Linked DNA regions of Lepisosteus oculatus. The protein of the gene in region 4 interacts with the protein of the main gene of each other region in a pairwise test. Links are inferred from orthologs where the notes say so. Each region holds a gene or a part of one and is shown on either strand. Other genes may lie near its edges. The genes, in order: psmf1, bahd1, inpp5d and khdrbs3.

Region 1 (7,121 bases), on a different chromosome or scaffold from region 4:
TTTCAAGTCAGTGAAGAGAAGGCCTTGTGAAGATTAGCGCTACTGTACTGTTTACAAAAAACAAATAGTTTCAAGATCCGACATAATGTTTGTTATTGAACCACTAGATAACAGCTGGATTCACATCAGTAAAATCCCCAAAAAAAGTGCCGTCCTAAATATAGAATTACTTTATTTACATATTACATTACATTCTAAACCCTTAACGATTCGCACATGTGTTTTCATTACCGGGTTCGCAGGGACAAAAATGTTCGGGGGGGAAACCTTTTATTTCACTTTCTTTTTCTCTTCCGCGTGAGGGCTCTGGAACAGCAGTTCAGGCATGGTCATAGTCCGACTCCTGGCATTTCTTTTCCCTCGGCTCTCCGGCTGGCGAGCGAAGCGCTGGCTGTGCTGTGTAGGGGTGGAGGTGTCAGTGGGGTTGGCTTTGTGCCGCCTGCGCCTCACTTCTGTTTCAGGACTGCTCATTTTACTGTGGCAGGCCGCCGTCTGCTGTCACCCGTCGTGCTCCAGTGTCCAGAGGCACAGAGGAAGTAGGTGAAAATGGACACTGCCTGAGAAGAGCAGAAGGCCCAGCAGGTCAGGTTTCGGGGAGCCGGGGATCCTCCGCCAGCTGCTCACTGCCTGAAAAAAATTTGCAGCTTTAACTGCACAAGGGCATGAGAAAGGCTGACTTCATACCTATTAACTCAACCTGTTTCTGTCCTGCCTTAAGTGCCTGGTTTATTTTAAGCCCGACTCTAACTAAAAAGCAAGCTAAAACCATGTCCTGGACTGTCTCTCCCTCCTGCAGTGTGATTTAAGGCTCTCTTTAATTGGTAAGTCATCATGTACAGTAGAAGACTGGGCTCGACTGTGGTCACCACTTTACAACAACGATGATGCTACTCTGAAATCAGGCCAGAGAAGATCGAGCAGGTATGTTCCCAGGCTCAAAGGAGCAAAAAGGTAAAAGAAGTAAATATTTTAATTTCAAAAAGAAAAAAAGTGACCAGATTTAAGTATTCAAAATCCTCACAGTGAAAGATTTCAGTATTCAAAATCCTCCTGGACAACAGTGAAGCACCAAGCAGAGCACACAGGGGCAACTTAGGCAAGTGCTTCTAGAACCTAAACCAGGAGGCACTTTACACAAAGAGTCTCAGGGGTCTGGAACAAGCTGACACCCTCGCTTTCATCATGGGATGACCTGAGCAATGAGGTAATAGCAACCAAATGAGCTAGATGGGTCTCCCATTCTCACGATGAAGCCGCTATCAGGTGACTCAGCAGGCACTCATTGGTGCCATTATATACAACACAGAATCACTGTGTTTAGCCAGAACACATGTTTAACATCAGGAGAGTTTTAATGGTACTGCACTGTGTGTGTCCTGGGCTGCAGCTCCAATGATGCGCGCAGCACCTGTGAACCTGGTGCCAGGCTGCCTGGCCTCGTGCTCCTGTGGTCAGAGGTGTGCAGGAGGTAAAGGACTCCTACAGACTAAAGCAAAATGTGGAGGTCCTCCGCACGCCAGTGGAGGATCCACATGGTTTCTGGACATGGCCAATGTTTCACAGCTGCGGTTGCAGAGGAAGTTGGGCGGCAGCCAGGCTCTGACACGGCTGGAAGGCGTGATGGGCTGGTGCCAGGTCACCTCGCCCTCCCCAGGGCTGCTCCGCTGGGGCAGGATCCCGGAGGCCAGGCCTCCTTCAGCTCCGGACCCGTCTCCCAGACAGAGCTCCTTCCACACGTCAAGGAGGACCTGCCTGTCCTCATGTCCAGAAGCACACGGGGGCTGGCAGAGTCATGCAAGTGATCTAGTAAGACCATATATTGTTAATTAATTGTGCAAACAAAGAAGACAAAGTTGATGGGAATATGCTGTGTAAATGAACTTCTGTGAAATGTGTTTTAGATATCCCAGAAAGAGGAAACAGATGTTGCTATTATCATTCCATGAGATTTCAGAAAGTTTGCAAAGCCTGTGATGAAATTAGAAACCACATTCTTTAATGATTTTTTTTCAGCTTTCGTAGGATTATACTGCAGAGAAATGTAACTTTGCAGTTACTTACGTAACATGCTTATTGTCTGCTTGGGGGTTGTACGTGAATTGTGCATGTTGTCATGGCCTGGTCTCTGGAGCTCAGGCCTCTTGCACACATGCACACTCCCACCCTCCGCAGGAGACACTGCTCCTGGAGCCCTGCGCACTGACCTTGTTTCAGTGGTGGATACCTTTGCACCACTGTTACTGCTAGAGCCCACAGACATTCATGTCATTGCTAAAGCTCCTGCATTAATAGTGTTGATTATCCCTGTTTATGTAATTAAACCCTTTTTTGGCACTCCACTGGGCCCCTGTGTCACTGTTGTTCTCTGATGTCCTAAAAATAGTGATAATAAACAGCACCTTCAATGCTTCATTAATGATACTGAATGCCCAGGGTCTTCTTTATTAGTATGTGGTTAGAAATACAAAACCTGTGTGTCTTACAAGCTCCCCAGTGTATCCACTGGTTATACAAGACTCTGGTCTTACTAAATCACCGTCACAGCATGCCTGTGTAATAAAGGGCCTCAAGCAAGGGTCAATGCTAATTTATTTCAAAGAATACACATATCACTTCTGAACAAGTGAAGGTTTATTCCATACTGTAAAGAGAAGAAAAGAAACACAACCTTTCGGCTGTAGAGCCTTCTTTGGGTGTGTCCCAAAGAAGACCTAATAATAAACCTTTACTTGTTCCTTTGCAGCCTACACATGCTGATGCAGCTGCCTACTTGAGCTATCACATGTCCAGTCACTAAAAAGCATCCTTATTATTTATAGAGTCCATGTTACCAGATATTAAAAAATCAGGGATTTTAAATACTCCAGGTTTTTTTAAAATTGGGGAAAGAATATTATTTTTGAAAAATGTATAGACCCCAATCAGCCCAGCCTGCATGCCCGTAGATGGTGGTAGGAGACACACGCGGACATGCAGACTCCATTGTTGACCGTTTCTAAAACCACCCACCAGAGGGAGACAATGAGCCATGTGGCGCCACAAATCCTATAGCAGGAGAAGAACATTAGAACCGTTTCTAATGCAAGAAGACCATTCAGCTTGTTTATCTAATTTGTTATTTCTCAGCAGCTAACTGGTGTAGTTATCCTATTCCATGTTTTTTCATGAAGGAATATCAGCTACAACAACAGCATGCCTGGATAGCTCGTTCCAGACCACCACAAGCGTTCGTGTAAGGAAGTGACTCCGGTTCTCGGGTTTAAATGCGCTTTCACATAATGCCCACTTGCGTCCTCTGGTTCGTGTTTCACTGTTCATCCCGGAGGACCCCACAGCGATTCACGGGTGGGGCGGGACCCGGGGAAGTGCGGTTCTCACCCGGGCAAAAACTCCGCAGGTCAGGAGATGGGGGAGGAGCTGTTTCTCCGGGTGATTTAAGCGTGAAAAGTGGGGCTGGTTCGCACTGATACAGGGTGGAATTCAGGCAGGACATCGGCTTTAATGGTGGTCATGAATATTGGTTTAAAAGCATTCATATTAAAAATCCTACAATTTAATAATTTCAAAACTGATAGAGACTTCATTATATCCAAGTTCAATACGTTATAATTATACAAATTCAGTATTTCTTAATATTTAAATATAAATAAAACCACTTTAGCGTGCATTACATATGGTCTCATTTTCCAGAACCACGACTTCAACGCTCAACGCTGCAGGTCAACGTTGCATGAGCGAACACTGCCCTCTGTGGTTTCTGCTCTGTATTGCATGCAAAAATGACGAGTCATTAAGAGAGAAAATTATTTTTTATATAATTTAAATTTAATCTGAAATCACTTAAAAAGAGAATAAATGTTTTGAACAAGGAACAAGAGAAAACAAAATATAGCGCGTTCACAGGTAGAATGAATGTATTAACAATTAAATTTTAAATAGCACGTACAAGCAGGATAACGTCTGTTTTAGCTATATTTCATTTATTACGGGTAAGTTTGGCAATTTCCTCGGAAAAATATTGCGAGTCACACGGGAAGCGTTTTTGAAAGAAACTGAATATGCCACATTTGCCGGGCGGAACTAAAATGAACACAGGAAGTGTTTCCATCTCGGAGTTTCAACGCAGTGGGACACAGTCGCGATGGACTGCAAAACAGATGCCTGGCAGTTTCGCTTTTGTGTTTCGGTTCAGCGTTGTGTCGGTGCATACGTTCGTTGAAGATGGCAGGTTTGGAGCTCTTGTATAATTCTGTCGTCAGCAGCATCGCCTGTCCCCAGGATGCCCTGGTTTGTTTTGTGCACTGGGAGATAGTGAAAAACGGGTACAAATGCCTGGGCGTCGGAGACCAGGTATGTATGGAGGTACCTGTTCACTTTTACCTGGCTGAATTAGCAATGCGCATTCAGGGATGGAGCACAGTGCAGGCTGTACGCGTCTAGGGGTGTAACTGTTGTCAGCTGCTATTGTGGGGAGGGTATCAAAATGTGGTTAGAAAATGTTTAAAAGCGGTGGTATTTGATGTGCTCTCCAGATCACATCTTCTGCGGTAGACGCCATTCAAGAAAAACACAAGAGTGGAAAATATAATACTGGTAATAGCGCGGTGTTGTCTGGCAGACAGAACTGGCACTCTTCCGAAGTGCGTCATGCCCGTCTGATACCTGTCGTACTTGTGGGGTAGTGATGGGTGTGTGACCGTTGCAGCCGAGTAGCAGCGACCGGCAGTCGGAGCTCCTGCCGGCGGGGTGGAACAGCAGCAGCGAGCTGTACACACTGAGGTACCAGTCGGGCGACAGCGGCGAGCAGCTGCTGGTCAAGGCCGTGACCGTGGACACCACGCTCATCTTCAACGTCCTGGTACGTGCGGCTCGCTGCGTTACTGCAGCGTATCTTCACTCGCTGACTGACCACGGCTACTTCAACTTTGCTGATCCTTCTGTGTGTTTTTCTTCTTGAGGAGTAGTGAAGGCTTTTGTCTGTAACTCGTTACCGTACTCTTGCACTGAGTAATGTGTGCAGCTACAGGATTTCACGCAAGCAGGTATGAGCTGACCTGAGACTTGATTCCATAACGAATCTCAAGCTGACAGAAATGAGTGCTCTAGTTGTTTTTGCTGAAATGGGTTCTTATTTGTAGACCACTGGAAAACAGTTTTCTATCTTATTTAATTTGGGAAGTTCTAATTAATAAAATAATTAATCCCAGGGTTCCATTATATTGTGGAGACAAATGGAATAAAATCCAAGTGAAAGGAAATTGATTGAAAGGAAAGGATTGAGAAGCTTTGTTTCGGAGAGTATTATGGTTTTTTTTTTCTGTTCTGTCTTTGTTGTGTCAGGAGTCAGCTTCAGGACGTGTGTCTGATCTGACAGTGAGCCTTGGTGATTATGTGCATGCAGACAGTCTCCAGGTATTCGAGAGGTGGGTCAAACGTCTCTAGGCTGTCGTGTTGTGCTAAAAGGGCAGAGTCATGCAGGACTGAACTCTGTGTGTTAAGTGAGATTCTTTATTGCCTGTCAGACACTCTTATCTCTGCCATCTAATGACTCAGAGTTGGGCTATGAAAGGATTGGCAACTCGTTTTAAGAAATCAAAATCACTTCATTTCGCAGCAAGAATCAAGCAGAAGTTGTTTTTATCCCTGCACTCAAGACACATTAAATGACAAAATTGTAGCAAATCCAATATCAATAACAATTTTATTCAGGACTTTAAACATTAACTTTTTGGTATTTTTCCAGCATGGTATTTTTCATGGTTTTATTAATTTGTGCTACAAATAGAAATATGTTTTTCTATGATTGTGAATTGCCTGTTGCAAGAATGTTGATATTAACATGCAGCTGGTCTTTGGTGCATTTATCTATTTTGGAGAATTGCACAAAGTGTCCTGATAAATCTGGTCTCAGCAGCAAAGTGTGGTGAGTACAAAACAAGTTGCCAATCCAGGAAAGTGTTCATTGTTAAGATGGTGTGAGTGTTTCTAGTCCCTTTGTAGTACATTTGTAGAAATGTTTAGTCTTCTTCAGCAAGGAGCGTAGGAGCTGTGTCAGCAGGTGATGGGCTGATGTGGTGTTGGTTGTGATGTACTGCCTGTCTTGACAGCGTGTTCAAGAACACTGAAGAGCTGAGGAAGAAGGTGCAATCAGGGCTGTTTCCTTCAGCCTCCAAACAGAAGACTAAGCCCAGTGAGAAGGCAGAGAAGAAGGGCCTGAGGGAGAGTCCTCCATGCTTGTGGCCCGACAGAGACCCCCTCCGGATCCCCCAGAGAATTCCTCGTTCTGACCGGCAGCCCAGCTGGTAGGGCCACAGGATGGGAGCTACAACAATCGTTGCTCCGAAAGGCTGAGCTATTAAACTGTACAAAACTGCAAAAAAACATGCACTGTAAATGACGGTTCGATCTCCATTCCATAGTGCTGATGAGAAAACAGCAAACGGTATAGTATCCAATTTCCCTGCCTTAGTCACAAGCCTGTTTGCACTCGTGCTTTTACACATGGGAGTGACTGAGTCTTCCTGGGCTCGTCGAGCTCTGTGTAACACTGCTTGTGCAGGGCTGCAGGCCTGTTGAGCTGACGCATACTGCAGTGAGGCAGAGTGACTAGGAGCCTGTAATCACTCTGTGGTTTACAAGCTTCTCTGGCCAGAGCTGAGACAAACAAAATGGGCTTCTCTGACTATGGTTTGATTGATGAAGCCTTTACTGATAGCGGCTCTTAGACACTTTTTCCTGGAGTGAAGAAGCTATTTGGCTGAGACATACCCTCATCTCCGTTAAGGCTCTTTTGGAGCCTGAAATTCCACTGTTTGTAATCTTCCTGTATGGCACATGGAAGTCCAAAAAAAACAATTATCAGTTTTTATAGCCTGCTCTGATGATGTAGTGAATGTGAACTGAGTGTGTTGGGGCAATTCCCGGCTAGTAGTAATTTTCAGTACATTTTCAACTGGTGCAGTGTTTAGCATTGCTGCCTCAGTACTAGGGCTCTGGATTCAATTGTCTTGTTTGCATGCATTTCCTTTGGATGCTCCAGTTTACTCCTACAGTCCACAAACATGCTTGTAGGGTAATTGGCTTCTGGGGAAATTGGCCTTAGGGGTGAGTGTGTCTCTGTG
Region 2 (7,959 bases), on a different chromosome or scaffold from region 4:
ATGACACTGCAAACTGGGCTGATCCCTACAGCCCTTCAGTTTGCTGTTAGCAATCTGACCTCTGCAGGCTCTGGGTAATCTTGATCACTTGGCACTGTTGCAGCAGGTGATCAAAAGCCTAACCCCTTCACTGCAGGTCAGTGGTGGGTCCTGCTGTAACACAAACTGAAACCCTTTCAAACCGCGGCTAAGTCGCAGGCTTACTGACAGGTCAGCGCGCACCTCCTCCTTCCGACCAGAGCTTGTCTTCCTTCTGGTCTGACACTGTCTGCCTCTCAATCAAGGGCAACTTTCCTTTTCTGTGGCCATTCTAGGCCCGTTGCAGCCTTTCTTCAAGCTGTGTCACATGACTGTCTGGTGTCTTAGTGGGCTGGCATTACAGTTACTGTGCTTGGACCTCTTCCAGGATTCTGCCTCTGAAGCCGGTTCCCTTTTGGGGAAGACTGAGCAGACTCCTTGTTCCAGGTCTTCCTTTCTCTGCTTCTTGTAACAGCCACCAAGTATGGCACAGCAGCAAGCTGTTGGACTTTCTTGTCCTGTTGGGAGTCTAGGCTCAGCCTGAATTCCTCCCAGCCGACTGCTCTCTTACAGCCCCCTCGATTACACTCAGAGGCATTACTGATTCCATGGAGAGTCTATCCTACCAGCTTTGTTCTCCTCCTGTTGAATTCAGTACTTCTTATATACATCCACTGATGCTCTCCTTAGTCAGTAGGTGCACTGACTATTGCTGCTGGCTGGGAATTGATGTAATCAGATGGAATCCAGCGTTCAGCCGGCGCTTTGACCCTTGTCTGTAACGCCCTCCTGCTGGTGGGTCCACAGGGAAAGGAGTTAAGCTGGAGGGTGGGAGGAGATGAGCAGGAACTGGTTCTCTCTTGTTCCAGAGCCAGCATAAGGCTCTCTCTACTGCCTCTCCCAGCCTTCCAACTACTCTCTTTCTGTCCCTGTCCCTCCCAGTCAGCATTCTCCACACTAATTCAGCCCAGGTGTGTCGAATTCTGCAGCACCTCCCAGTCCCTCAGCTGCCAGCTTGGCGCAGGGCCACTCCATCGCCCACGATTTGAGCCAAGATGGAGTCAACTCATGGAGCCACTATCACTACATCACAATGATATCATAGCGATAGAGTGTAAGAAATAGTTGAAGATAAAGATACTGTAGGTTACAAATGAGAAGAGGGACGTTTTTGGCAAGTGTAGATCAGTGGTTACTGGAAGTGCATTGATCCAGAGATCTAGTGAGTCCTTTTTTTAAAAAAGAAGTAATAATCTAAACTTCAACAACATGATTAGGTAGCTTGCTCCGGACCCATCAAAAGCCTTTGTGTGTAAAAGGCGCTTCCCTGAACTCAGTTCCAAACTTATTTTCCTCATAGTTTCCATGTGAGCCCTCCGAGTTGTTCTGCTGAAGAAGTCCAGTGGGTTGATATTGTTAGCGCCCTTAAGGATTTTGAGTACTTGAATTAGGTTCCCTCACAGTTTTCTCTGTTCAAGACTGAGCAGATTCAATTTGTTCAGATTGTAAGGAGGAGAACATTCCTTTCAGAACATGAATGCACCTGGTCTCTCTTTTCTCTTATTTGGACTGATTTCAGAGCGTCAGCATTTTTGTAACATGGTAACTAAAGGAACACATTCAGCTTCATGCTGTAAAGGACCAGCACAGTTTTAGCTACTTTTCTTCCCATCAGTATCATTAGCAAGATAGATGAAAGTAGTAAGAGCCTATTAAAATACAGTCCAATCATAAAGATTAATCATTTATAAGGTGGAGGTTGTTTAAATGCTACAAATCTAAGCAAACTGCACCTTTCACAAAACGTTTATGTATTTTTTCATGTTTTGTAAAGCCAAAGCATGATTTCACAACTGTAAAAGACTGTATTTGTGTATTACGTTGCAATTAAATATTGAGCAATTGAGCTTATCTGCAAAATTGAGACAATAGTTTTTGGTGACAGTTTACTATTTTTTGTCCACGGCCTTGTAATGAGAATGTCTGTACATGTTAATTTTGGCATTATTTCTTACCTATGGGTTTAAACACATTATGAAATGCCAGTGTAGTGTAGTAGGCCTTTTAATATTAATTTACTGTACTTGTGCCTCGCTGGGACTGTAATATTCGCGAAGGGTAAAACGTCAATTGCTTTTTAGCTGGATTTGCGGCGTTCTATTATAGAATTAATCTAAGCCCTGGCATTTTTAAAATGATTAAATTTGGTGAAATGTGTGAATATAGTTTAGGTTTGTAAAACCGACTGTTAGTTTTTCATCGAATTCTGTTTTTGGTTTTATTTCCCCCGACGTCCGCTATTTTCTTTGTGTTCTGGGTTTGCTCCGCTCATGAGATCAGCTGCGCTATTGATCGCAAAAATACGCACGATTTAAGACAATGCTAAACCAAGGAGTGAAGTCGCAGGAAATTAATAACCACGAACGCTGCCATTTCAGATCTGTTAATGAAACAATTTTTCAGCACTAGTCATCAAACTTTTCTTTGCCTTTCTCAATAGAAAAACGCAGTTCAGTTTTCTGTATGCGATCAAATCCTTAGTTCTGGTCGGCTTGTTCCTGCCCCTTGGTGATCTACGCATGGGAACACTGGTACCATTGATATGCAGTATCTTGTCGTGTTGCTTTGTGGAAGTTATAATTTTGGCGAGATAATAGCTCGATTGTAAATTATAGGATTCTACTAAATGAGTCGGAGACCAAGACAGTGAAATTCGCTCAGCACTTTTCCCAGCATTTGACTTAAGGATTCCGACAATTTCAGGCACAGGTTTACAATAATACCCGTAAATATATTGTCTTTTTGAGCATGCATTACAGTAACAAGTGGGGCAAAACACCTGCCGTGAGTCATAGACCCTCTGGATATTCTGCTTGTCAGTAAACCTTATAGTCTGTACTTAACCTTTTTATGTCAAATTGATATCAGAGATTGCAGTTTATTTTTAAAATAGGGTATTCTTACACACATAACCTGAGGAAGCTGAAATCGGTTTTCAAGTTATATGGCTGCAAGTAGATACGGCCAAGATGCCCAAGATGTAGTTCTGTATGCAGTTGTCGGAACGTTGGAAAACGATTGCGATCTTGTTCAGTTACAATTAATTTATTAATCACGTTGTTACTTCACGACAAACGTGTTTCTAGACTGTATCCCTTTTATTGTAAACAGTTAAAACCACACCAAATGCAGAATTGTTGTATTTTTGTATTTATACAAATATAAGATTTTCAATTTTCCATGTGTTGTATAATTCCCATTCTTTGTAATTTGGGCCTTGTGTGTTACCTTCATTCTGTCTGACTACCAGCTCCTTAAAACAAATAGCCTGGATGTCGGGATCAGTACTGGGTGACAAAATCCGCACATGAATTTCATGAATTTCATTAAGATGAAGACGAATATGATTCCGATTTGTTGGGTGGATTAAAATCAAAATAAACCGACATCACAGGCAAATACAGGATTTTCAAAACTTCAAACGATCAAATCATTTTAGGGGACGCATTGGGGTCCGGCTGGGTTTTCCCTTAGTTGAAGAGTCAAAATCGTGAAACGTGGAATAAATCAGCTTTGATTCATCCTGTAAATTCTGATGATTCAGGCACCACGCCCTTCCCGTCAGTGTAGGCTTAACTCACGGAAACCTGCAGGTCGTTTAATCTGCGGATCTGTTGCTAGTTTTGACCAGGAATTTGCTCTTTGATGTCCTTTAAACAAATCTTATAATTGGCGAAAAAACGTTTTTTTTTTATTTTTCTATGTTGACAATAAAGAATGAAAAAACTTTTTCTTAACACAAGGATAACATCCAGTTTCTATGAACTGCACGTTAACACAAGGGAAGTGTGGCATTTTGTTTGAATCGTGGTGTTTTTTTTTTTACTTTACTGCATGCTAAATCATTCGCTTGATCACGCAAATTGTGACAGAATTCCTTTGTTCTCAAGCATGTGTGAAACCCAGGAGTTACTTATTTAAGGTCGTTGTTACTGCAGTTACATTTTTGAGACGGGTAAAATGTGTACAAGGAGTGTATTCTCCAGCCAGTTAAACGAAATGCATAAAACTCTTTACAGTTTTAATGCTTAATGCTTTACTAGACTAACAGCTTTTAGGTTGATGTGGGTATTGTACGGCTAATTAGAAATATGTCATGTCATCTTGTTCTAGGAGGTAAATTTGTGCAGGCGGAGTAATTAACAAAGATTTTGACAGCACCTGAATGAGAGTACTGAGGATTTGAGCACGGCCGCTTTTAAGAGGAAAGAAGTGCACCTGTGCATTTGTCTTCATTTAATTCACCGAACTACGAAAAATAAACCATTGATCGATCGTTTTAGATTGTTGAAACACAAGGGACTGCAAAGGGTGTAATGTGGCTCTTAACCATTATAAAAGAAAAAGATCTTTAATACCAACTAAAAGCGTTAAGGTTTCAACCTCAGTATTTAAACGAGTGAGCCACAAGATGTTCATTTCAAGCATTTCATTCATTGCTTGTATTTTAATTTGGGGGTATTGATCCCTAAAATACAAGTAGATTAGTGGTCAAATAATGTCAATTTAACGGTGAAACCAACTAATATGGCCTTGTTGCAGCTACCCTTGTTTCCTTTTAAGCTGTGAGGTGATCCGATTATGATGAAGATTATGAGGTTGATGAAGATGATGATGGATCTTGCACCATTGAGGTTTCTCCGCCGTGCGGGCGCTTTAAGGAACACAGAAAAGAGAGACCAGAGCCGAAGAAGAAGCCGAGCGATGGAGGGTGGATTCTAAAATAACTTGTATTAAAGAAGAGAGAAAAAGTAAAATGTCACGTTGTGATTGGCGGGTAGGGATGTCAGACGCTGTGCGTGTGCGGCCCAATTGGCCGAGATGAAGTTTTATTAAAATCAGAGCTTCTCCGATTGGAGCCCTAATCAGGAAGAAGGAATCGAGCTTCGTTTTGCACTTTTGGCTGCACGGAACTTTCAGATTAAAATCCATATAAAATCTGTCATTTTGACTCTCTTTCGAGGTTTTCCGATGGGAGGGACGCGGTAACTTTTAGCAAAGGAAGCACGATGATATCGGTGGATTGGATACTGTAACGACGAGCATCGCATTTTACTCAGCAAGGAAAATTCCGACGATCAAGGGGGAATGCAAAACGTTTTTTTTTCCGAAGGTACTAGCAGCTGACTGTGAAAGCGACAACTTAATTGTGCTACATCTTCATACCAGACCTTAACCGTTAGCTGCATGTGATGCTGGTATCTAGAAGCAACCAAAGTTAATGTATTTTAATTTAAAAGATGAGCCTTAAAATGCCAGGCTGCAACAGCAGGTTTCGCGAATGCAGCGCATGAATATTATCTTGAAGCATGCTACTTCGGAAGTAGGTCACCGTTTTATACGTCTTGTCAATTGTGAGATTTTTTTGCTTCACGTTACGAAGCAAAGAAATACCATAGCTAATCTGTTGGAAGAGGGGAGCAGAGCCATCTTTTCACATCCCCGCCGAAACTTCGTGATGTTTTAACAGGTAAAAATATAACCCATATTTTTTGTTCTTTTATTTGTATTTAAATATTTTGATCCACGTTGATATGTACTCTGGAGGCAATAGCATATATTTCAGAATAGCATTTGATAGAATGGGAGTCGATGTGCCTTTAAATTTTTTATGCATGTTTTATTGTGTAACCTTTAGAATTTATTAGAATCTAAAGCGAGTTCAACCAGTACAGTCCAATATACTGTACAGTAGATACTGAGAAAGTGTTGCTGGTCTTCATCATTTTAGCTCGACTTCAGCACCACAAAAAGTACATTATTCACCAGAGTAATCCACATAATTGCATTTGCAGTAATTGATGTATTTTCGATACGGTCAGCTGTCTGGTTTCGAACCGACTGTATGTTTGAATGGCATTTACATCATTCTAGGTCCTGGGTGATACGCGCCTCGTAGGGTTCTGGAAATAAAGAATTGGTTTTCTACGATCCGCCCAGCAGAACCGCTTCTGCTTCTGTTTTTCATGGTCATCTTAGTTTGAATGCATGTACATTATCGCTCATCCCCGAAATGCAAACACGACTGGACAAAACCTTTTCCCATCCCCCCGTTTAATCTTTCTCCCATATGTTTATGACTTTAACCTTCGTTACTTATTATCGACACCTGCTGAGAAGGAAGGCCGAGACTAAACAGTTACAGACACATGCTTTTCCTAGAAGCGAAATACTGTACGTCAGATTAAGGAAGGAATGACTGCTCTTTAAGTACCGTAGATTGCAATATGATCAGAGCATTTCTGCGTATAACTCTGTTTTATTCGCAAAACTATGGAGATTCAAGAGCAGAGTTTTAATCTATGTTTATTCTGATCTTCTGCAATATGTTTATTCTACGGTGAGTTGCTCGGAAACAAAAAAAATATTTTCTCTTTAAAACGGCACGTGTTAGTCCTACAAAAAGTATGAAATTTGAATAGTCGAAGTTATCGTTGCTTGAACGCGCGAACGCAATTATTCATTGAGATGATGGACGGCGATTTCATTTTTGCGTTTGTTCAGAACTCTTTCATACCACTTTTTCCAAATCTAGGGTTATAATGAACGTAATAAGCATACATTTACATTTTAACTGCGGTAAGCTGGTTCCATGGTTTTGTATACGCCGAATGCGGTCGGTGTCGTTTGATTGTTTAGTTTCTCAGGTGATCATTTGGTTGCAATTCTCCGTTCTCTGTTCAAACCGCGGTTTACAGTTGTGATAGGTAAATGATGGGCGAGTCGCGTGTCACCACATGCAGGAGCACTTCAGCTAGTCTGTCATGAACTGGGGAGGAGACCAAATGTAGTTCTTCACACCTTCGCAGAAAACGTACTTGGAAACTTTAAAAGCGCGACAAATGCTATTGGTTCCAATACAATGGACATTTGTTGCGTTTTAATTTCTCTTCGTGTCTAAGTATGATAATTCGCAAACCCTCAGAAACCTATGGTACTGTATATTTGCTCTTATCTGCACAACTACGGTACACCTCTTCATTCTCACGGAAGCCCCCAGCAGCTCTGTTAACCTGTAGATAACCTTTGGCTGCGTCTTTGCTGTGTTGCCTAAGGCATATTAAAGAGTTTTAATGGTTCAGTGGTCTTTGAGGCGAGACGTGTTAACATGTGTTGTAGAATAGCTGCTACTACTTTTACAATTATATTTCCTTGTTTCACCTGCAACTGTTTTGTGAAAAAGTGTTCTGCTACTGCACATCTGCTTGGCTTTGTAATGTGTTTTGTGCTGTGTGGGTTTTGTTTCTCCTGAATTATGTTATCACAGTATTTTTGTGGTGTTGAAAGATACTGAGTAGTTCATGATATTTGCACTGACCATGAGATATTCTCTCACAAATGTGGACAGGGACACAGCTTATTAAAGTGTTATCAGAAGAGATACACTAGAATCCAGCCTAATTTCTCATAGAGGTTACAGTTAAATATCTGGAGACCATTATCGTCCTGTTCTGATGAATGATTTGTGGAAGTGTATGAAGAGGGTTTAATATCTTGGCATCCTGAAAAAAATTAACAGTTAATGGAATGATAACAAATATCTAAACTTTGAGCCATTTATGTTGTGAACCTATATTCTCACTGAACAATTAATGCTGAGGTTCCAAAATACTTTATTTCCTTTTTTAACATGCTTTCAACGAACGGCAGATATCTGTCACAAGTTTGTTTTTTGCCATAAGATGTGAAAAGCAATAATAGACATGTACCAAATCAGCATAAACATGCCTTGTTACTGTCAATCAAATTACTTTGATCTTTGCTGCTGACAGACACAGAAATTTGTAGTTTTTTTACACTCTAACTATATGGACTTTTTTTTTTTACTGAATTCTTTCATGGTTCAGTAGATCAAAAAATCTTATAAAACAGTAAAAATAA
Region 3 (7,600 bases), on a different chromosome or scaffold from region 4:
CTTTTGCAAGACTGTAGCTAAACATACCTTTTTTCTACTTTATGATATAATGTATTAAAACATTTTTGTGAGAATATCAATGTGTAAGCATACATAACAAATAGTTAATACTTACATTAACTAGTGAATACTATTACATGATACAACAACCATAGAAAAAATATGTACATTATATTAAAATACTAAACATTAAAAATAAAGTTTGCATTACATAAAACAATACAATGAAAAGCAGAGCAATGACATTGATATATAATGCAGTATGAAGAATAAAGTCTTGAGTAGGCACCAGTAGGTGATCAAACATGTTGCAGTCCTGATATTTCTAGGGATCTGGTTCCAGCTCAGAACAAGGCAAGTAAAAAGCAGGAGCAAGTGACTAGCAGAAATTGAGACGTGATAGCAGATACTGAGAAGAGAGATTGCACACAGGAAGTAGCAGACTGACAAACCAAATGGTAGGTAAGAAAGTTGACCTTAAACTGGAATAATTGAATTGTTATTGGGCTTGTTGTTTGTGCAAGTGCATGTATTTACACGTTTGAAAGGAAAATAATCAAAAATCCTGCAATACAGCAATGCTGAATCAAATTAAAAATAACATAATGCAAAAACAAATCAAAATTCTTACCCAGGAGGTTTATTTCTCTTCCCCACTGATGTGTGGTGAGGGTTCTGGCGCACTATGGCTGCCGTCGCATCATCCAGGTGGATGCTGCACACTGGTGGTGGTGGAGGGGAGTCCCCATTACCTGTAAAGTGCTTTGAGTGGAGTGTTCAGAAAAGCGCTATATAAGTGTAAGCAGTTATTATGAATTATTATTATTTCACCTTTAAAGAAAGCGTTTCCACTCCCTAAACAAATTAATGAGTCATGTACTCCTAACACCTTAGGTATTACATACTTTTTTTTTCTCAAAAATCCATTAACCATAGATAATCATAGTTATCTGCTTTATGTGTGATTTCTTGCATTTATTTAACAGATTTGCACAAAATCTTTTGTATCACACAAATGGGACATTCTGTATTCCAGAAAGAAGACCCAAAGAATATGGAGGACTGCTGGGAAAAACTTGAAGGTAATATTTATCTCTTTGATTTTATAAATGGATCTTAAATAATCCTTATATTAGGTATTTTCTTAATTTCTTGAATTACACAAAGCTTAAAGGAGCCAGTTATTTAATGAACACTAACTCATTTCATGCTTGCTGCACACATTATTGTGCGATCACAACCTGTTGTTGTGTTTAGGTTAAATACATACAAGACTCTGACTACAAATTCATGAAGAAATCACCTTTGTTAAGTAGAAGCTTGAAGTTTGTCCAATCGCTGAGAATGCTCATAAATATCCTTATCACTTAATTTCCACTTTGCATCTTCCCCCAGCTTACAGTATCACTAAAATGTTTCTGTTGTGCAAATTCCTGCACTTGGCCTTGACAAATCTTGGCAGATGCCAATTTTATGGAATGTTTGTTTTCATGATGAATACATTTTTGGAGAAAAAAGAACATAGAAACTTAAAATATGTAATATCCAGACACCACAAATTCTTGGTAAATTTATGTTACATTCCCGGTTATTTGTGCACGTGATTTTGCTGTGTATGCGATCGGGACAGCAGATTGACAGTCTACTTCCTGATATCTAGACAGAATTGCTGTGCACAATATACTGTTGTTCTGCATTGTTCGATTCATTCACTTATTTTTTTATTTTCCAACATTCAGTCTTCAAGTTTCATTTTGGAAGGTCACATTTTACAAACAGCATGATTCATATCTGTAATGCATAATCAACTGAAATGAATGCAGTTGAGTAAACTGAGCAGTCGGGAGGGAACTATTTGCATTGCTGATACTTGTTACAAAATGCTGTGTCTTCAGTCTGTGCAGTGGCATATTAGCTGGGACACAACACTGAGAGGCAGTGGAGGGTGGAAATCCCCTGACTTAGATGTGTGTATGAGACTTGGACTTTCTTGAGTCATGTGACTCAAAGTGTGGTATGTCAGCAGATTGGGTTTGTGCAACACTTCCTGTCCATAGCACTTTCTGAAAATGCAGGGCATCCTCTTATGTTCTCCTCAGAGCTGTGGGCTGTAGAGAGGGGGGGATCCTGTCTAAGAATACACCAGAGAATCTAGCTAAATGTGAAAATGATACATTGAACAATCCAAGCGTCTTGATATTCTCAGTTACTTTAGCTGCTACTTGTGTGAGTGGGTGTAAATATACAGGTATTAGGTATCCTGCATCTGCACCAGTGCTATTTAGTGTATTACAGAAGTCTGAATGTGCAGTGTTTATATCTAACAAAGATCCTTCCTGCAATTTTAGATTCTGTTTGGACAGTTTAGTAACAGGACAGAGTTACGTAACTCCATAAAAGTCATGTTCATATTACACATTAGTATTAGAGCTCACTTTCACAAGTTAGAGGCAAACTTGATTAAAAATGTATTTTTAAGCCACTGTCAAACCTTTAACCTTCCTCCATCACCACCCATCTCAAATTCCAAACCCTGATGCCAGGTTTCCATTGCTGAGAAGGAATAGCTCCCTTGCAAATAAAAATCCTCAAGCACGGGTTTATAATTTCGTATTGTTAGCTGATTCTTTTCTGATTTGGGCTAGGCCTAAGGACAAAGTCACAATAGAGTTTTCATTGACTCTGTCAGTTGTTTCTAATTAGAGTTCCGTAAACCGGAACACAAGACTTCTGCACAGCATCTCTTGTCACCTCCTAAGAAGGTGTCACTGTGGCTTTGAAACATCAGACAGATGTATTGTTTTTTGGTTTGTGTTTTTGTGATGTTTAACCCATCTGCTTTCTTTGCAGTAAATGTACATTCAGCTGAGAGTGCAAATACATACCTTCTGAGATTTTTTGCAAGGGTTTATGAAACTCTCACAATCTATTCCTGGTGAATATTTCATTGCACATTTTCTACTTTTTTCTAGATACATTTCTCAAGGCTATGACGTGTGTGCACAGTCCTCTTCCTGCTACTCTTCAAACACAACTGAAGGTGACGAACAATGATGGGTCACAGGCCTTCTGTGGTTCTGCACTAATGCAAGAACATTGTATAAGGTTTTAGCATTGAAATTTCCCTTTTTATGACATGCATGTTTTATATTTATCTAAGTGTTATTTTTAATTTTCTGATGCTATTTCTGTTCATTATTTGCCTTTATTAACAGCTCTTTCTGAAAGTCACATCCACTTTAAGTCATCTTAAAATTCATTTTATGAAAGTGTATTGGGCAAACAAATAGGATCTTAAAAACCTATAAAGTCCATAGAAGGAGAGAGGTACAGTGGCATAAATATATGCCCCCTTGCTATTTCCTCCTCTCGAACTTTGATAGGGTTACTAAGACCCTGCTGATTGCTGGAACTCTAAGGACACACATAGAGTAACAATATAATCAGAATTAGAAAAATAAAAGTAACAGGACATGACATATTATATAAGGTTGGCAGAGTGACATAGAAATTAGTGCTGTTGCCTCACTCATAGGATTTTTGGTTGGGTGTTTATTTTAGGCTTGCAAAGGTTTCCTCTAGGTGATCTTGTTTCCTCTTATCTTGCAGAGCTGTGTGTGGTTCATGGGTGCCTCTCAACTGTTCATGTGTATGCGTGCCCGACGATGGACTGGTGTCTCTTGCTCGAGGTCTTGTCCCACTTGTAACCTACAGGTACATTTCCAGGAGAGGTTCCTAATTGTGAAAATCCTTACCAGCAGGTACAATATGTCGTTTTTACTTGCAAATGGGAAGCCAAAAAGTTAACAGCCTCTCTGGATTACTGGTTCTGATTGTCGCAAAGCAAGACACTCATTATTGAAAGTAATGCATGCCCGGTGCTGAAAAATATGGGTGACTCACCATAAGACCCCATGTTTGCTGCAGAAGGAAGTGTAGATTGAAACAAAACAAATGAACAATTACATAACCAAAGGAACATTTTGAATGTTATTTTATTACCTTATTATGAACCATTATTTATAAAAATTATAGTTTGTCTAAAATAAATAATTGAATCATCTTCATGCTCTGAGACAAGGGAGGTCTTGAAATGTACTGTTTCACTAATAAACAAGCATGGCACAGGTGCTTTGAGATGGTGCTTCAGACATATTAACACATGGGGCACATGGCTTCCTTTTCATGCAAGAGCTGGCCTGGAGGATATTAAACCATCAGTTTCCATCATGGCAGAGACAAGTCAGTAATGTTTCATGTAAGAGTTGTTACACTCTTAGATTTCTACAAAATAATTCAACAAACAATTGGTTTGCATCTATTTTTCTGTTGCACATCCTGTGTATGAATTGGTATTATGTGAAATAAGGCCTGTTATTGTCCTGATAGTGATAGCAGTTTGTTTTTACCAGGTATTTTACCACCTAACTGTATGCTCACACTTGTGTGAACAAGAAAGATGTGAAGCTTTGCAGCTCTTTTGCTGCTTCTCGCTCTGAACTGAGAATGAGGAAGTTCAAAATTGTGTTTGTGGCTGCTTCCTCCTCTAACAGCTTTCGCCTCTTGAACAGGAAGAGAGAAGAGAGAGAGACCAAAATGAATTCAACCAGCTAGCTGGTCTGAATTCACCCAGACGTTCTTCTGCGTATTTTGTAACCAACTTCAAAATACAAAATAGAAACTCAACCAAACCATCAGAAAAAAGTCAGAGGCTGGAATGGCAACCTTTCAGCCTTGGTACCATGGTAATATTACCCGCTCCAAAGCTGAGGACTTGCTTTCCAAAGCAGCAAAGGATGGTAGCTTTCTACTCCGAGACAGCGAATCTATTCCAGGAGCATACGCCCTCTGCGTACTGTAAGTAGTTCTTTTTTAAAGTCTATCAAGTTCTTTGCAGTTTCTTATTGTAATAGTGAATTTATACAACCCCCCAGGTGATAAGAGCAAGGGTGAGTGCCTATGATTAGTAAAGACCGACCCCTCCCTTGGCACCCATACAATCTAGTGCCTTTTATGTTTACAGAATTAGTGATAACCCCCGGGTCGACCTTGGCATCCATTTGAACTGGGCAGAGAGCTTAAAGAAACTGTTACTGACACAATATTGTGAGAGTGTTTCCTGCATCATTGACTTCAACCTTGTTCAAAGAGACCACAACCTTGTAAACATGACTAGAGAAAAATTAAGATTCACCTGTTATTAGTTTACATTGTACGCGGGACTAGATATAGCAAGCATATCTAGACCCCCTTTGTATTTGGCACTAATATCTTTAATTAAAGCCATTGGATCTTCCTGGAATCTTTTGTTTTCATTGCTTTCACTGCAGCCTCAGCTGCAGTTACAGAATCACATTAGTTTGATAATCCGAGGAATTCAGGATCGCCTGAATTCCTCGGCTCCAATTTTTCTTTTTCTTTGCAATAATACTAGATTCCCTTATATGCACATTGGGAAGTACAGCGCAGAAAATATACCAATATAAGATGCAAAATGCACCCAAGATGGTTTATATTTTTATTTCTAAAAGGTTATGAATATGACATCAGTTTGTAGCTGGTCATTTGACCATCAGTTTTGCATTTTTTTCTCTTCAGATAACGTTCTAACAGTGTTTAAAAGTGCACATCTTGTCAGTTGGTTTTAGCTCTTGTAAAACATCAAACATATTGATTAAATGACTGGTTTTCATGTAACACTAAAATTGTTGTGTAATGTGTTGCTTAATTAAAAATTTCTATAGACATTTTTTTATAGTTAGAGGTTGCAAATTGATCCAGAGTGGCATTATCTGTTGTTGGCATAGGGATCTGCATCAGCATGTGTAGGCTACAAAGGACCAGGTAAAGGTTGCTGAAAGGTAAAGAGAAGAATAACACATTTCAGATGTGGAGGCTTCTTCCATTTGTGATGACACAATCAGAAACGTGTTTTTCAGCTTTTTATAAAAAGCTACAACAATTTAACTGGCAAACAGTGTCAATCAAAATTTAATTTCTGGTTGTTTTCTGTATTTTTTCAAAATCATTTGTGATTTAGTGACATTGGGTACTAGTTACAGTTACTTTGCTTCAGCTGGATACTACAAGTTGTTTCAAAATTTCTGATCATTATATATTACGTAGGTCATCTGCTTCTGAAGCCTTGATCAGAGTATAGAGCACGTTGGCTCTTGCAAACCAAGACCACAGAACAGAATATTAATGCTTAAAACCTTGACCATAGTATATAATGTAGGACATTCAGTCCCAAACGCATTTCAATTTTCTTATTCAGTAAATTCAAGAATGCATCATTCTTCTTTTAACTAAAGTTCCAACAATTCTATTATACTGTACTGCAGCCTATGGCATTAGGCAGTCAAAAGCTTCTGCTGATCAGCGGCTTCTCCCCATTCACTTCTCTTGATCAGGAGTAATTGCCATCTAAAGTAATGAGACCTAGCTCAAAGTGCCATGGACGTGTCACTTCAGTTTTTCACCCATAAAATGAATGTGAAGATGAGGTTCTCTCTCTGCTGTCCCTTACTAAGGTTTATTTCTGGACTTCAGAAAGAGAATCATTCTTGCAGCTTGGTCCAGTGGTCTCAGTGTACTGCAGGTTGTTTCACTAAAACCTCAGTACTTTAAAGGATTTAGATGTTTATGTACTGTATGAACCTTGGACTGGTGTCCTATCCAGGGTGTACCCTGCTTGCTGTGGTTCCCCCACATCTCTAAGGTGGAAGAAGTGGTTAGAAAATGAATGGATGGGATGTACCCACAAAGACACAAGAAATAAAGTGGAGGTATACTGTACTTCCTCATGTCTGTTGGCTCCAAGTGGTACACTGTGTGTATCTACCTGATGAAGATTCTTATGTGAGCTCCATTTTGTGCATTGGTTTTTCAGTTGTATATCTCTATGTCACAACTTCTGATTTTATCGCTGTAGGCTTTCATATTTCATATAGATATACAATTTTGTTCCATCTCATGCTCCATCTTTAACCTGATGTTGAATTTTTAACACAGGTTTGTAAAATTGTAATGCGTTACTTGAGCTTGTTGAACAATATTACATATCAAGATCTGAACAACCAATCTGACCTGAACCCACATATTGTATGCACAATTATCCATGCATGACCTTTCTCTTTATCTCTCTGACACACACACGTAAAAATATAAGAAAGGTTAAAAATGAAAGAAGGTCATTTATCTCAACAAGGTTATTTGGTACCCAGGGTCTAATTGGTTCAAGGATAACATCCAGGCATTTCTTCAAATAAGTCAGATTATAATCAATAACGTGGCTGGGAAGCTTGTTCCAGACTCCCACAACACTTTCTGTATAAACGTGTCTCTCATTCTCAGTTTTATAAGCACTTCCCCAGAGTTTCCACAACGTCCTCTGTCTCGTTTTTCGCTATTAATTCTTAACCTGCATACTGTAAGCATTCACTTCGTCAATGCCTTTGAGTACAATATTTAGAGCATATTCGAATCAGTTCTCCTTTTTCTGTTAGAGAGAACAAAGTCAAGTTCTTTAACTCTGTCCTTTAAATTAAAAATAAATATTTTTTCTCTTTTTGAACTGATTCCTCAGCAGCATTTTACA
Region 4 (7,008 bases):
GTGTATGTAAGGAATGTGAAATCCAGAAAAATGCAGATCTTAGGAATTTAATTTTCCAGATAAGAAACAAAGTATAGAATTCTTTTGAGATGATGACCATGCATGGTGCCAATACACAGAATGCACTATATTGTGTAGTATTTTCTGCAACATAGTAGTTTGAATGTACATGTGATGTACTTGCTAATTGTTAGAGGGTATATGTAATAGTTATAGATATACAGTAGAGATGGAGGGCTTGCAATAAAACATTAAAAATAAACATATCTTAGTACTTTATGTACATTATACATGTAAAGTTTTATCTCAGTTTTATCTAAATTATGTTTGCGTGATTTCACTTTTTTAATTAGTGGTATTTTAAGACTATACATATTTTGACTACATTTAATACTTACCTCTGATGACAAAAAAGTGATGAATCCTGATAGATTTATAGTAATAATATGTACTCACATACAGTATCACAGCTTTGGGATATATGTTATAATTATATATCACACATAGTTTGTGTTCTACACTACAATGTTTTTATTAACTGGTGTTTTTAAACAAAAACAAGTATGTCAGATAAAGAATACTTTTGTTTATATATTCATTATTTAAACTGAACTCAGGTTTAAGTCTAAATTGAAAAGCATGTACTGTACTTACAATATCTTAGAGTAAACTGAATGCAATAGGTCTTCTGAAAAACCAGCATTTTACCACTTGTCTGTATCAGTGATACAAAAATGAAAATAAAAAAATGTCTGTGTTGGAAGGTACTTGTCAATGTTTTGTGTGCCTGAATCAAGTGAATCTTTCTTTTGAATACAATGACATATAATTCAAAATCTACTTTCTGAGTAAGTATGATACAGTACTGTACATAGAGAGAGCAACATTATGAACTTGAATATGAATCATGAGAAGGGTGATCTGAAGTCGATTGTTTGACATGTCTAAAGGAACCTAACTTTGTCCTGGCAATTGTAATTAACAAACATATCCTGTTCATGCTCCGAATATAAACATACTGTATGTTATATCTGTTTTCTTGCTAGTTGGTCATCTGTCCACATGGTGCTCGTGGCAAGCTGTTAATTACTGAAATCAATACAAATGTCAGACACTGTATAGCTTAGCATATCCAGAATACAAGCCAAAGCCAGTCACTTAAATCTGAGAAGACAATTCACTTACACTTATTGCACAGTGAACAAGTTGCTAATGTTTTTTCTTACTTAAGTGCAGGAATTTAGAAAGTCTTAACAGCTTTAGGCATGTTATGGTACACTACCTGGCACTATGTAAGTAAAGGGCATATTTTACTCTTATCTCTAATGATAAGTGAATAATATCAAAAAAAAAAACATGCCGTCACAACATGAATCATTATGACTAGATATTATTACAGTATGAGAAGTAGTTCTTTATGACTTGGCAAAGTGGTTTTATTCTAATGTTTTGTTTGTGAAAGTTCTATTGTTCAGGCATAAATATTAGTAAACAAATGTAACTCCTCTTTTTCAGTGATACCACTGCTTTCTAGGACAAAATACTCTGATGATAATATTATTGACATCAATTTTGTTTGAAAAGTAACAAGAAAAACAGAGCTCATTATTGTTGTTGAAACTTAATGATGATAATGTAATAAATTATATTCAATAATACTGGAGATGTGGTGAATGTCAGACGTTGGCCAAAATGTATTAGTATTAGTTAAATCTTAGTAAGATTTGGGTTCTTCACCTTGTGATGAGAGATTAATTTAAAACTGTAAAATGTTCTGGTTTGGGGGATATGGGACGCTTTAAAATATGTTGTTGGTAAGAAATATGCCCGCACCATTATCGTTTTATTGGGTTTATTGTTAAATAAACGAAATACAAAAGGTGATTGCCTATTAACAAGAGTGCTGTAACATACTCCAGTCAGCGCTTCCTCGTCACAACAAGCAAAGTAAATGATACAGTATTTATGATACTGTCTGCATTCGGCACATTTAGTTATGTCTCCCAAAAAGAGACAAGCTGAGATGTGATGGAAGTAAGGAATGCTGAACCATGAAATATTCAGGTATCCAACAATAAGCGTGGAGGCAAACTGTATTTAAAATGCAATATCTCGAAATTAATAGTATCTGCATACATTCTTACCTTGCAGTATCAACGAAACACATTGTATGTCTTCGTTTATAAGACCTGGCTATTTCAAAACTGCTGTAATTTAACTGCACTTGATTATAAGCAATAGTAATAGTATACTGTAGTAGTAATAATGTTTTTAATATTCCAGTTTACTCGATCTCTAAACCAGCCAAATGTTTACCGGTGTTGTTATACTGTACCTCATTTCTTTCTGCCATATGTGAAAAGTCACGTTTTGAGAAATGCACGGAACTTGAGATGCTGCTGGAGGTAAACAACATACTGTGGCTATACAAGCCTAAGTGCTTTCAAGGACAGAGATAACAGAAAGAGCGCTTAGGGTTGTTGTCCATCCCTGACTGAAAAACTTGAATAGCTGTCCGCGTAAGCACTCGACTGTTGCCTTAAATGTTATCACACTTCTCATACTAACCACTACTGCTAAGCAGAAGACATCCGAACCGTGCCAAATACCGTGACAGGTAAACTAATACTTATTCTCTCGGTTATTTACCTTGATTTAAAAGCCGCAGAGAATGTTGAAAAGAAGGGTCGAGGGAGTCCTTTTCTGCCATCAGCTCCGGCAAATACTTCTCGCTATCCATTCCTTCTTTCCCTTCGGTCCACAAACGGATCAGTTGAACACAGGTCTTGAAAGAAAAATCAAAAGTAGTATTCCTCTTTAGCTCAGTTTCCCCACGGAAAAAAAAAATAATTAAAAAGCAAAAGAGCAAAAAAATAACTTTATTATTATTCAATACAAAAATTACAACATAGCAGTGTTCTCTGTGTTTAACGAGAGTGGTAATTGTACACGGGCAGTTCTGCTCAAGTACAGTCCCGTTATCCCATCGACAGCGAGCACACTTTGAATACAGCCTTCCCAACCTCTAGATACCACTGTAAACAGGCTTTGTACAGTAGCTCCTCCCGTTATTTCCACAACCAGCGCAAGGACATCCCAACACCAGCCTCGATTGGCTGCCGTTTGAGCGGACCTACATTTGTTCTTGTAATTTAAATGCCAATCAAGACACAGGCGGGGAGTGAGAAAAAAAAATATTGATTTAAACTGGCAGAGAGAGCCAAAGGAGTTGTCCATGGTCCTGCACTGGACTTCAAGAGGGCGCTTGAAGTCCGGTTCAACAGATTTGGACGCCCCTTTTTAAATTTTAAACTCATGTACATCGGAGAAAGTGTTGAACAGATAATATGCAGGTGAGATATCACCTCAACCATGTTTTTCTATTCACTTTTGTAGATGCACAATTTTCTGCATTTACATTGCTTTGCATTAAGTATAATGTACTGTATACAGTGTATACTGTATATAATGTGTTGAGATATCTATAAGTATAAAATTAATAAAAGGCTACATAATCCAGATTCAGTCAGTCTTATCATTCATAGTCGGTTTCTATGGCACAATATGTGAGGTGGCTTGGACAGAAAATCAGATTTATTTTTTCTGCATTTTTTGTTACTGTATAAATAATACCCTGAAACCTTTGAGCCCCAATGTAAGAATGTGTTTTGCTGTGCCAGAGAACAAGACAGACATTCAAAATTACTTGGGAACCCAGTACATGTGGAGTCCTATGAATGAGATTACAATGTTTATTTTCATGGTAAACAAATCTAAAAGGATTCTAGCCTTTTTTGTTGAATACATATCATATACTTAAATTCAATACAGGAAATCAGCATGTTATGGTATTATCATTCTCCTTCTGATTTTTTTAAGGCACATGTGTCAGACAAATTACTACAGGGGTAGCTGGGTTGTTGCAGCCAAGCATTCATACTGTACAAACATTGCTTTTTAATCATTCAACGTCAGCTCTTGCTGTCATTGTGAAGCAGAATTCACCAAACCTAGGATTGTTCACCCACTAACAGGGAACATGACCAGGGCTTAGACTGTCACGAGAAGGGATAGTTTTGCAATACTGATGATGTGTTCTTGAAATAGTAGTCCTGCTTGGTACTGTATGAGAGGGACCACAGGTTCTGGTACATGTGCTTGGCACTGGCTGAGGAGCCAGTGCTGTGAAACTGTGATTATAACTGAATGCCTCTAAGCCAGAATCCTCCTTAAAAGGTCTCTTGTAAGCTTTAAAATCCCCCTAAACCTCAGGGGTAGACTTTTGGCCGAGTGGTCTTGAATTTTGTTTGAGGTCTGAGTGGCTAGGGTACTCCAAGGTATGTATGTGACATCAGAACGAATCTGGGGTCCAACTGATAAGCTTATTATTTTTTTTTATCAGTTAAATTTCTTTCCAAGTGGCATTTTAAGCTTTACTCCTTATCTTTCAAAATATTATGAACTGTTGTAAAGCTAAAATGGAAGCAATACAAATTAATCCTCTTTAGATTTGGGTTGCTGTGACTCAGTATGTAGCCATTTAGCCTGTGGGATAGGATGAGCTGGTATCAAATGCTGTCTTGAGAACATGTGTAAATGCACTTATCAAAACAGATGTCCTTGTATGTTATATGAGAATATTCGGAGAGAAAATGAAATCCTACCAGGGTATATTGAGGCAATTCTCAGAAAAAATACATAATGGACGTATTGTCAAAATGTACTTATGAGTTGGATGTTTATCAGGAAAATGAAATAAATAAGATTTAAAGGAAATACTGCAAAATGGTACAAAACATACAGTATAATATAAAAGATGATAAAACAAGAAATTAAAAAAAACATTTTATTTTCACTATGTACCTTATGCCGTATATCTTCAGCATTGTATATTTTCTTCCGATACTTTACAATCTGAAAATGATAACAGTCCAGATTACATTCAACACATTTACCAACACAAAACATTCTTTCCTCTGGATTTAAAAGAAGGCTCAGGCTTTCTTTGGATATAATTGAGATGAACATCAATACTATAGTATGCTGTACTATACATTATGTATCAAGTTGATACTATGCTGTTTTTTAAATAATGATTCTAAAATAAACACATACAGTACTAAAATGTTGCATTTTGTTTCACTTTGAAGTGCTCCTTCTGAAGAAGAAAAATATTGATCCTGGTAATGTTTTCTATGTCCTTAAAAATACTTACTGTATGTTGAGATATACTGTAATAATAAGTAGCCTGTAGCATATCCTAGGTATGGATGACTGACCTGCTACTTTATCCTAGGTCAGTAAAAATGATTAATGTATTACCTTTCATCAGTACAGAAATAGTGAAATTATGTATGCTCTTTATATATTTCTAATACAAGTGCAGTATGTCATATTAGAAATGTGCTATTACTCAACAAGCTGTATTTCAATAATAAACTTGTAACACATGATTCTGAGCAATATCTGTTCAGAACTGCTCCTGGCAGTTGTTTTTATTTTTATCCCATATTTCCGAGCAGTGTATTTAAAGGGGCTGCCTGAAAACTTACGGCTTCTGTCGTTATCTTTTTTGCAGAGCAAACAGGACCTGTATACCCAATAGCCCAAGGGTTTTGTTGACATGAAGAATTAAACAAAGTATCAGTTGGTTGTAGGTTTGATTCTTTTTTGCATATTGTCGAAAAGCTGAAAAAGGATTTTGGAAGAGACAGATGTAGCAGTCATAGAAGACAAAGAATGATTTATATGAGCTGGTCATTAAATAGCTATGTGATCTCTTGAGATATGAGATATGGAAACAAAATGCTGACTCTTTTAGACTTTTTTGTTGGATTTTGTTTCCATTTAAATATTAAGCCATATCAGAAGCCTGGTTTGTACAACAACATCTTTTCCTTTGTGTGTAAGAAACCCCAATAACCTCCAAACCCTTTTAAATTTAGGTGTATTTTGAACAGTGTGAATGTGAAAAACAAGTCACTTTCAGTTACTTCTAAAGTACTAAACTGAACTTATCATTTTTTAGAAATATATATCCTGAAATATCATAAAGTATTCGACATCTTCATTCTAAACTAAAACAGAGACTGTAAGACATCAACTCAACTCTAGTTGAAAATGCCAAGTATCGTAGAAGACATTGTAAGTGTAAAAGCTAGCAAACAGTTAAATATGAAGGAATTACAATTGATTGAAACTTATTGTACATAACAATATCTTCCTAAGCACATTGAAATGATGTCTTGAATGAAAAATGACACATACTATAGGAACATCCTGCAGGACATTTTGCACTGAATTGCTTATGGGTAAGGTCAAAGTTGACTTATGACTGCAGGTTTTTGCAACCAAAGGGTCATCCTGATTTGATGTCAGAATAAAGTACTATCATCATTAATAGGTTTCCAAACTATGATGTTTGGCCAATAGGGACATCTGTTCTTTTCAAATTTGTACTTTTGAACTTTAGGGGGAAAATACCAGTCATAATAAAAATGATAGAATCTCAAAAGTAGTAGCAATATCTTTTACACAAAAAGCATTTTTTTCATCACCTCCCAGCCAATACAGAACCAATCAAAATTCATAGAAAGTAATAGTAGTTGAATGGTCAGGTTATTTTTTAATTAAATTAATATCAGGGTAGGCAAGGTATTACATGTTTCTGAGCTGAATATTAACGTTTCTGTGAACTGATCTGATGTGGGCAGACATTTACACAAGTTTAGTTTTTGCATAACCATACTGTATGTATTAAAGTCTTTAGAGTATTACAGTCATATACGGCACATGTCTTACTTACCCTAAATCTATCAAGTCTAATATGATGTATTGTATACAGTATGCTGTAATCATGTATATCTGGGCATGATTGGAAACACTTCCATGTAATGTATTTTAAAACAATTGATAAATAATATTTTCGTTAAAAACAACATTAATTGGATGTTGGGGTGTTTGGAATAATCACAAAAATAAACAAACTGTTCTGTTGTCAAGTTTCAA

What was found.
Region 1: the proteins of khdrbs3 (region 4) and psmf1 interact in a two-hybrid assay, tested with the Homo sapiens proteins (2 studies listed by BioGRID and IntAct). The link is inferred for Lepisosteus oculatus from reciprocal best matches to the Homo sapiens genes KHDRBS3 and PSMF1.
Region 2: the proteins of khdrbs3 (region 4) and bahd1 interact in binary tests that used the Homo sapiens proteins (3 or more experiments, as listed by UniProt). The two-hybrid records come from large-scale screens. The link is inferred for Lepisosteus oculatus from reciprocal best matches to the Homo sapiens genes KHDRBS3 and BAHD1.
Region 3: the proteins of khdrbs3 (region 4) and inpp5d interact in binary tests that used the Homo sapiens proteins (3 or more experiments, as listed by UniProt). The two-hybrid records come from large-scale screens. The link is inferred for Lepisosteus oculatus from reciprocal best matches to the Homo sapiens genes KHDRBS3 and INPP5D.

Annotation. Positions count from the first base shown.
Region 1 is NC_090711.1:643,249-650,369, forward strand, and holds the start of psmf1 (proteasome inhibitor PI31 subunit), read left to right. Parts: upstream 1-4,112; 5' UTR 4,113-4,221; coding exon 4,222-4,350; intron 4,351-4,705; coding exon 4,706-4,858; intron 4,859-5,340; coding exon 5,341-5,423; intron 5,424-6,107; coding exon 6,108-6,302; intron 6,303-7,121. UniProt on the Homo sapiens protein: Plays an important role in control of proteasome function. Inhibits the hydrolysis of protein and peptide substrates by the 20S proteasome. Also inhibits the activation of the proteasome by the proteasome regulatory proteins PA700 and PA28.
Region 2 is NC_090703.1:12,318,273-12,326,231, reverse strand, and holds the start of bahd1 (bromo adjacent homology domain-containing 1 protein), read left to right. Parts: upstream 1-4,937; 5' UTR 4,938-5,166; coding exon 5,167-5,191; exon of another isoform or gene 5,192-5,548; intron 5,549-7,959.
Region 3 is NC_090708.1:10,189,968-10,197,567, forward strand, and holds the start of inpp5d (phosphatidylinositol 3,4,5-trisphosphate 5-phosphatase 1), read left to right. Parts: upstream 1-4,591; 5' UTR 4,592-4,717; coding exon 4,718-4,857; intron 4,858-7,600. UniProt on the Homo sapiens protein: Phosphatidylinositol (PtdIns) phosphatase that specifically hydrolyzes the 5-phosphate of phosphatidylinositol-3,4,5-trisphosphate (PtdIns(3,4,5)P3) to produce PtdIns(3,4)P2, thereby negatively regulating the PI3K (phosphoinositide 3-kinase) pathways.
Region 4 is NC_090705.1:35,523,910-35,530,917, forward strand, and holds the start of khdrbs3 (KH domain-containing, RNA-binding, signal transduction-associated protein 3), read right to left. Parts: upstream 3,017-7,008; 5' UTR 2,741-3,016; coding exon 2,650-2,740; intron 1-2,649. UniProt on the Homo sapiens protein: RNA-binding protein that plays a role in the regulation of alternative splicing and influences mRNA splice site selection and exon inclusion. Binds preferentially to the 5'-[AU]UAAA-3' motif in vitro.